2 linked regions of the Saccharomyces cerevisiae S288C genome follow. The main gene of each other region encodes a partner of the protein of the gene in region 2 in a complex. Each region holds a gene or a part of one and is shown on either strand. Other genes may lie near its edges. A codon is read from its position in the direction of its gene.

Region 1 (2,997 bases), on a different chromosome or scaffold from region 2:
TATCTTTTTGGTGCGCTTATAGTGGAGTTCAATACGAGCAGTAGGATGAAAATGCTTCAAGGAAAAGAGCGTAGGCCTTTTCAACTTGAAAGAAGATTAAGAACCTATCTTTCGAGTTTTGACCAAATTTTTCTTTTTTTTCCTAAAACACGAGTTTTTACCCATTTAGGAAAAGTAATTGTTTCTTCTACCGCCTCGATCTGACGAACAAGGGAAATTGAAAAAAAAGAGAAAAATAACGACAACTGCAGGACTCGAACCTGCGCGGGCAAAGCCCAAAAGATTTCTAATCTTTCGCCTTAACCACTCGGCCAAGTTGCCATAACTCATTGAAAATTCTGTTTCCCACATAGGTCAAAACTAATATTTCCCTTGGCCTGCTCTTCAACCTCCCCCGTTCTGAGAGTTCCCTTTTTTTTTTTTTTTTTTTTTTTTTGAGGGGGAAGCGCCGGATTTGCCACCGACCGGCTGCTTGCAGCCGGTAGATATGCGCACATGAAAATCATCCTCCCCAATGAATTACACTGCCTGCATAAGGAAAAAGAAAAGTGTGAAATACGAATAAAAACAAAGTATATTATTGCTATATAGATGATAAATAACAAAATAAATAGAAAATAAAAAAAAGGATTTATTTGTGTATGCTTTAGGAGAACGAAAAAAAAATTGCAAAGAAAAAAACCCGGTTCAGCGAAGAGTACATGATGTGATGGAAGGGGCGTCGGAGTTTTTTTTTCTTTTTTCATTTATATCCCATGCCATGATGTTAACCGGTTTAATCGGTTCTAGCAGCTTCCTTGAAGGAGATGGCGGCTTCTTCACCCATAGCGGAGATGATGGTAACCATCAAGTCCTTACCTTCATCAAAAGCAGTTTGCAAACTGTCACCCAATTCACCTTCTGGAGCCTTGACATCATCCTTAGTGTCACCGTCCATGTTCATCAAAGACAAGAAACCGTCATCAATGTCCAACAATTGGTATTCGTTTCTCTTGACAACTGGAACTTCCATGTTGTGAGTAGATGGAGACAAATCTTCCAACTTCTTACCAGTGAAGATATCAATGGCAACCAAATGGACTTTAGCGTGACCGTGCTTACCAGTCTTAGAAGTGGACATGTCGACAATCTTACATGGTCTACTCTTGATGACAACGAAACCGTTCTTTCTCAAGGCAGAACATTGCATTGGGTAGGTGGCGGAGGAACCAGCGTCAGCAGTTTCAAAGGTATGTTCTTCGTCAGACATTGTATATATGAGTTGGTATTTGTGTGTGTTTGGGAGTCTATGAGTAATTGGCTACAGAAGTAGAATCGTTAGAAAGAAGGAAAGGAAGCAATTGATAGAAGGAGAGGAATTTAGGAAATGAGGGATTCCAATGTCAAGATATGGCAAAAACCTTGTGCATTATATAATCGTGGAACACGACGATCAACGCGGCCAAAAGCCGATCGACGACGACGACGAAAAAAATTTTTATTACCACTGTTCCTTCACCTTCGAAACTTTTTTTCGGGCGACGGCGTTTCTTTTAGCTCCTGCGGTATGTGCGGTGCGGGAGGTCCCTTGTCGCCTCACACGGACCCGATATAACGCTACGGAATACATCGAGGGGTATGGGTGGATGATATCACTGCAGCAAGGTCTGGGTGTTGCAGAATTTTACCGGCCTTGGCCCCTCAGCGTCCAGCTACAGCGTTATACTACTCCAAGTCGCCGTTCCCGTTTTGCTGTTCTCACCCCTCAGAGAAAATGCCACCAGAACGAAGCCAATGGTCAGGACTTATCGTTACTTATACTGTTGAGCCGGATATATCCGCTGTGCTCTAATACCAGCCAAACGAGAAGGGTAGCGGCAAGAAAGGGTAAACTTTCATGATGAAGTTAGCTAGTTCCTTTTACGATTGCTACTATCTCGTTCAACTTGGCCTGCGCTGTTGATGAAAATAGCAGTGACTGCAGAGAATAGAAATGAACCGGGCTCATCTGGTCTAGTTGCCTTCTTTTTTTTATTTTTTTTCATTTTCCTTTTCTTTTCTTTTCTTTTCTTGTCTCACTATGTTGGTTTAATCAATTCGTAATCCCTTTACCAACGCATTGTGTTCAATTTTCCTCTTGTGTGGGGTCGCCCGCCTTGTCTCATCGTGAAAAAATTGCGTAAGATGAAATCATGAAAACATGAAATAAAAAAAATAAATAAAAATAACTACACGATTCAAAAACGCCAAGATCTGTTAGTAGAGACAGCAAGCATTGCAAAACCATTCATCACTCAGTTGCTAGGCGAGTGTTGGTGCGATTTACCCTCATCATCTTTTTTTCGCTCCATTAAACAGTTCCTTGTGGCTTTCATGCAAAGTGTACGTCCATAATGAAGTATAATAACAGAAAACTCTCGTTCAACCCTACCACAGTAAGTATCGCTGGAACGTTGCTTACGGTGTTCTTTCTCACAAGACTCGTGCTTTCGTTCTTCTCGATATCGCTATTCCAGCTGGTAACTTTCCAAGGAATCTTCAAGCCCTATGTTCCAGATTTTAAAAATACTCCCAGCGTAGAGTTCTACGACCTACGAAATTACCAAGGCAACAAAGATGGTTGGCAACAGGGTGACCGCATCTTGTTTTGCGTGCCACTGAGAGATGCTTCTGAGCATCTTCCCATGTTTTTTAACCATCTGAATACCATGACATATCCGCACAACCTGATTGATCTGTCGTTTTTGGTGAGTGACTCTTCGGATAACACCATGGGCGTGTTACTATCCAATCTACAGATGGCGCAATCGCAACAAGACAAGTCCAAAAGGTTTGGTAACATCGAAATCTATGAGAAGGACTTCGGCCAAATCATTGGTCAGTCCTTTTCTGATCGTCACGGGTTTGGCGCCCAGGGCCCCAGAAGAAAGCTGATGGCCAGGGCTCGTAATTGGCTTGGGTCCGTGGCCCTGAAACCATACCACTCCTGGGTTTACTGGAGAGACGTGGATGTCGAAA
Region 2 (5,799 bases):
AAGGGGGGCAACATGGATCAGTTGTTCGCATTGGATTCGTGGGCTCATCGTTATATGAACAAAATGGACGTTGTAAAGATTGAAAACTGCACAATTGGCTCTTTCGTGGAACATATGGATGTAGCCACGTATGATCGCATGTGTAATATGGGATTTAGAAGGTCTGGTAAGTTTCTTTATAAAGTGGACCCGTTGAGGAATTGTTGTAGGTTATACACCATTCGAACTGCCCCTCAAGAATTGAATATGACAAAGGAATTGAAAAAATGCATCAGCCGCTTTGCTACTAGAATAACAAGTGAGGACTACTGCCCAGCCGCTGTTGCAAGCAGTGATTTTGTGGGCAAAATTGTTAATGCAGAGATGAATTCTAAAACATTCTATACCCGATTTGAGCCTGCACTTTATAGTGAAGAAAAGTATCACTTATTTGTCAAATATCAGGAAAAAGTGCATCAAGACTACAATAATTCGCCGAAGTCCTTTAAGCGATTCCTATGTGATACGCCCTTTGGCCCTGAAGCGGTGTTGGGGACACAAGAATCATGGGAGCAGTTAAACAATTGGCAGCGAATGAAGCCAGGCGAGAAACTGAAGCATATGGGTCCTGTGCACGAATGCTACTACTATGAGGGTAAATTAATTGCCATCACTGTGTCAGATATCTTGCCCAGTGGTATATCTTCGGTATATTTTATTTGGGATCCAGACTACAGTAAATGGTCCCTAGGGAAGCTCAGTGCTTTGCGCGATCTTGCCATCATTCAAAGGACAAATCTGCAATACTATTACCTGGGGTACTATATTGAGGACTGTCCGAAGATGAATTATAAAGCAAACTATGGTGCGGAAGTACTGGATGTGTGTCACAGTAAATATATCCCATTGAAACCCATTCAGGATATGATTTCTAGGGGCAAACTCTTTGTCATAGGTGAAGAAGAGACGAAAGTTACTAAGGAGCTCTACCTCGTTGACTCTGAAACCGGAAGAGGGGAGGGATTTCCCACTGATAATGTTGTCAAGTACAAGAATATTGCTGAGGAAATATACGGTGTGGGAGGGTGTGCGTTTAAATCTGCAAATGAATCTGCATTGGAATTGAAAGAACTTTACGGTATACCGTACGAAGAGGAAGATTTAGATACCATCTACCATTTGAAAGAACACAATGGCCATGCTCCAAATGGTATTCCTAATGTGGTGCCGGGATTACTCCCGCTATGGGAATTGCTGGACATTATGCAATCTGGCAAGATCACTGACCTGGAGGGAAGACTATTTCTCTTCGAAATCGAAACGGAGGGGATTCGACCATTAATTAACTTTTATAGCGAACCTCCGAATGTCAAGAAACGTATTTGTGACGTGATACGGTTATTTGGCTTCGAAACTTGTATGAAAGCCGTCATTTTATATAGTGAGCAAATGTGAGCCTTCAACACACTATTCTAATAACAATCCTAATGTATAACATTTTTTAGCATTCAAACATTCTCACCATCGCGCTGAGATAATTTTATATAGTTGATGGAATAGTTTTGGAGGTGATTTATCCATTAAATACCTGATGCTTTTTTGTCTCCTCATCGCGTGAAAAATTTGAGAAAAAGCTCGAACTATTTGTAGCACTTCACTGTATTGCTAACAGTTCTTAAAAACTTCAGAACATATAGATATTGCTAAACACAGATTTGAATACCATAGTAACTAGTCTCTTATTCTTAGTTTTTGATGAGCTCCATTCACGAGGTTGTGGCTCTTATTGAAGAGCTGTACTCTCCTCATCCGAAACATGATGTTAATCAGATTCAACAGAGTTTACAGTCAATCCAGAAATCAGAGCAAGGCTTCCACCTAGCTAATGAGCTTTTATCTGATGACAAGTACTCTGCGAATGTCAAGTACTTTGGTGCACTGACTTTAACTGTGCAACTAAATACGCGGGGTGAAAACGATTATGAAACCCTATGGAATGTTTTCAGGTCAAATTTATTGTACTTGACGAAATTCAGTACATTGTACGTTTCCAATCCTAATATGTACGGGCAATCTCTAATCATAATTAAAAAGTTAATGTCAAACTTGTCATTGATCTTCACTAAAATCAACGATCCGCAGCTTAATAACGCTGGAAATGAAAATATGATTAAGCAATGGAACAATCCCATAAATACGTTTATTCAACTTATGTCGGTTCAAAATCAAAACATTAATGCAGACCAACTGTTGCTTGACTCAATCAACTGCTCCTTAACATACGAGCAACTGTCTCAATTTGTTAGCCTATCTCAGAAACATAATGAACTGGCATTGACGTTTACAGAAGTTATTGTGGAAGATTTGACGAAGTTCCAAACAAAGAGGCATTCAATGTCTCAAATCCACGAAGTAGTCCATGAGCATTTATATATTTCAACTATGGCTTTGATCAACTTGAACTTAACTGCACAAGCTGTCTTCAATCCTACCGTATTTGATTGTATTACTGCTTGGATTAATTATATCTCATTAACCAGAAGCGTATCTTCAAGTGGTAGAATGGATTTGTCGGAAATTTTTCAAAACCTGATTGACTTGATGTATCAGTCTACAGAAGGATCGGACGGTTATGAGAATGCGGAAAAGATCCTAACAATATTTGGTAATGTTTTTGCTAATGATCCATTATTAATGAGTTACGATTTGAGACAACAAATCGAGTGTATTTTCTTAGGTGTAGTAAGGCCTGATTCTGGCATAACCGACATATCTAACAAAAATTCTTGGATGCTACAATATATGAATTATTTAGTTACCAATGATTTTTTTTCCGAATTGAAGGAATTGGCCATTTGTATTGTGGATTTCTTGCAAATTAACACGTTAAGTGTTTGTAATAAATTATTTACTAACATTCAAGCAGCTGATAATGGTCAAGTTCAAGATGAATATATTCAGGAATACATCAAAGTCCTTTTGCAAATGACCAATTTCCCTTTAACTCCTGTCTTACAAGAGTTCTTTTCTGTTAGAATGGTTGATTTTTGGTTGGATTTATCGGATGCTTACACTAATTTGGCTAGCGAAACTTTGAGGCCAAATTCTATTGAGCTGTCTACACAAATTTTTCAGCAGTTGATCAATATTTATTTACCCAAAATTTCTTTGAGTGTGAAACAAAGAATAATTGAAGAAGAGGGTGAGAGCACTTCTGTGAACGAATTTGAAGATTTTAGAAACGCTGTCAGTGACCTTGCTCAATCTCTCTGGTCTATTTTGGGAAACGATAATTTAACAAATGTGCTAATTGATGGTATGGGCCAAATGCCTGCTGCGAGTGATGAGACTCTCATCATCAAGGATACTGATGTTTTGTTTCGAATTGAAACGATGTGTTTTGTTTTGAATACTATATTGGTTGATATGACTCTATCAGAAAGCCCATGGATTAAAAATATCGTTGATGCCAACAAATTCTTCAACCAAAATGTCATATCCGTCTTCCAAACTGGTTTCCAAACTAGTGCCAGTACAAAAGTCAGTCAAATTTTGAAACTTGACTTCGTAAGAACAAGTACAACTTTAATCGGCACTTTGGCTGGTTATTTTAAACAGGAACCTTTTCAATTAAACCCATACGTGGAAGCTTTATTTCAAGGTTTGCACACTTGCACCAATTTTACTAGTAAAAACGAACAAGAAAAAATTTCGAACGATAAACTTGAAGTTATGGTTATCAAGACTGTTTCAACATTATGTGAGACATGCCGTGAGGAGTTGACTCCATATTTGATGCATTTTATAAGCTTTTTAAACACAGTCATTATGCCAGACTCCAATGTTTCACATTTCACTAGAACTAAATTGGTTAGATCTATAGGTTATGTCGTTCAATGTCAAGTCTCCAACGGTCCAGAGGAGCAAGCTAAATATATTTTACAATTGACGAACCTATTGAGCGGCTCAATAGAGCATTGTTTGGCTTCATCGGTACAGTTACAAGAACAACAAGATTATATTAATTGTCTATTATACTGTATATCTGAGCTAGCAACAAGTTTGATCCAACCTACTGAAATCATCGAAAATGATGCATTACTACAAAGGTTATCTGAGTTTCAAAGTTTCTGGTCCAGCGATCCCTTACAAATCCGATCGAAAATTATGTGCACCATTGATAAGGTCTTGGATAATTCAATATATTGTAAAAACTCCGCCTTTGTGGAGATCGGTTGTTTGATTGTTGGTAAAGGATTAAATCTGCCCGACGGGGAACCGTACTTCCTCAAGTACAATATGTCTGAAGTTATGAATTTTGTTTTGCGGCATGTCCCCAACTGTGAGCTTGCTACTTGCTTGCCTTATTTTGTTTATTTATTAGAAAAGCTTATTTCAGAGTTCAGGAAGGAACTAACACCACAAGAATTTGATTTCATGTTTGAAAAGATCCTTCTAGTCTATTATGATGCATATATTATCAATGATCCGGACCTTTTACAAATGACAATAGGTTTTGTTAATAACGTTTTGGACGTGAAGCCAGGCTTAGCTATTGGCAGTAAACATTGGACATCATTTATTTTACCTCAATTTTTAAAATTAATACCTTCAAGAGAAAAGTTCACAATTGTTGCGGTGGCAAAATTTTGGACTAAGTTGATCAATAATAAGAAATACAACCAAGAAGAACTCACAACTGTTAGGCAACAAGTTTCCTCTATAGGAGGAGACCTTGTGTACCAAATTATGTATGGCTTATTCCACACACAAAGGTCCGATCTGAATAGTTACACAGATCTGCTAAGAGCTTTGGTAGCCAAGTTTCCAATTGAAGCAAGAGAGTGGCTCGTTGCTGTTTTGCCCCAAATATGTAACAATCCTGCAGGTCATGAAAAATTTATTAATAAATTACTTATTACGAGAGGAAGCAGAGCAGCTGGAAATGTTATTTTGCAGTGGTGGTTGGATTGTACCACACTTCCAAATTACCAAGGATGATTTGTTAAGAATTTCTCCGCTGAGGGTGAAGGCTATTCTTTGTTACATTTTATTTAGTAATGCGTTGATCCTTTTTGATAGATTTTTTTTTTGTGCTTTAAAGATAGTAGCAGTATATATGTGTGTAAAAGCTAATCATCAGAAGTGCAGCATTCATTGCTAGTATTTAGTGATAAAAATTTTAGAATTTCCATTTCTAATTGTAATTGCTTTTCATTCCAATACATGTTTGAGCTTCTGGGGGGTAAAAATACATTTCCAGACAGGGCGTCAGGTTGAAAGCAGTTACTGAAACATAGAGAGTCGACGTCAGGAGGAGGCTTCAAATGGTTTTCTGAAAGTGATTCGGTCTTATTTTTCCATTTTCTAAAATGGTGAATCCTTTCTCTGGAAATGTGTGATCCCTTTGCCTTTTGTGAAAACTTTTTTAACGAGCTTTTTAGGTTATTAGTTGTCTCAAGAAGGTTTATGGGCCCGCTGGTCTCGATATCTGCGTAATTTAATGGACGTATCGTGTCTTCCATGGAGTGAATTGTGATTTGTGAATTATATCTGTCCAATACCGTTGCCTTGTTGGGAGCTCAGATAGAAAAGACATCTTAATTCCAGACAGTCTATTCTCTGTCTATTTCTCTTTGTGACTGCAAATTTTAATTTGTGACGCCTTTTCTTATTACTCATGTATTTGTCACTCTTGACGATTGTTTTTTTTCTATATTTTTTTTGTTCTGGGGTCCTCCAGAGAATAAAAAATAATGATCAATATAGTAGATAGTATAGTTATATTCTTATTCGTTGCACCTTGTTTAACAAATCACT

What was found.
Region 1: the proteins of KAP122 (region 2) and HYP2 are in contact, whole or in part, in a crystal structure (PDB 6Q84), measured with the Saccharomyces cerevisiae proteins. Residues at the interface, in NP_011499.1 of Saccharomyces cerevisiae: Leu312 (codon at 2,668), Thr440 (codon at 3,052), Asn441 (codon at 3,055), Leu442 (codon at 3,058), Ala443 (codon at 3,061), Ser444 (codon at 3,064), Leu447 (codon at 3,073), Ile452 (codon at 3,088), Trp506 (codon at 3,250), Ser507 (codon at 3,253), Leu509 (codon at 3,259), Gly510 (codon at 3,262), Asn511 (codon at 3,265), Asp512 (codon at 3,268), Asp557 (codon at 3,403), Met558 (codon at 3,406), Thr559 (codon at 3,409), Glu562 (codon at 3,418), Ser563 (codon at 3,421), Pro564 (codon at 3,424), Trp565 (codon at 3,427), Arg1018 (codon at 4,786), Arg1060 (codon at 4,912); in NP_010880.3 of Saccharomyces cerevisiae: Asn29 (codon at 1,165), Phe31 (codon at 1,159), Lys35 (codon at 1,147), Lys40 (codon at 1,132), Val42 (codon at 1,126), Asp43 (codon at 1,123), His58 (codon at 1,078), Val60 (codon at 1,072), Ile62 (codon at 1,066), Gly67 (codon at 1,051), Lys68 (codon at 1,048), Lys69 (codon at 1,045), Leu70 (codon at 1,042), Glu71 (codon at 1,039), Arg87 (codon at 991), Asp94 (codon at 970), Asp96 (codon at 964), Ile148 (codon at 808), Ser149 (codon at 805), Glu152 (codon at 796), Ala153 (codon at 793).

What each region holds. Positions count from the first base shown.
Region 1 is NC_001137.3:83,928-86,924, reverse strand, and holds HYP2 (translation elongation factor eIF-5A), read right to left. Parts: upstream 1,250-2,997; coding exon 776-1,249; downstream 1-775. Other genes in the region: MTC7 (Mtc7p), read right to left, coding at 327-746; UTR5 (Utr5p), read left to right, coding at 1,380-1,880; ANP1 (Anp1p), read left to right, coding at 2,373-2,997. UniProt on the Saccharomyces cerevisiae protein: Translation factor that promotes translation elongation and termination, particularly upon ribosome stalling at specific amino acid sequence contexts.
Region 2 is NC_001139.9:459,932-465,730, forward strand, and holds KAP122 (Kap122p), read left to right. Parts: upstream 1-1,734; coding exon 1,735-4,980; downstream 4,981-5,799. Other genes in the region: ATE1 (arginyltransferase), read left to right, coding at 1-1,434; BIL2 (Bil2p), read right to left, coding at 5,112-5,504.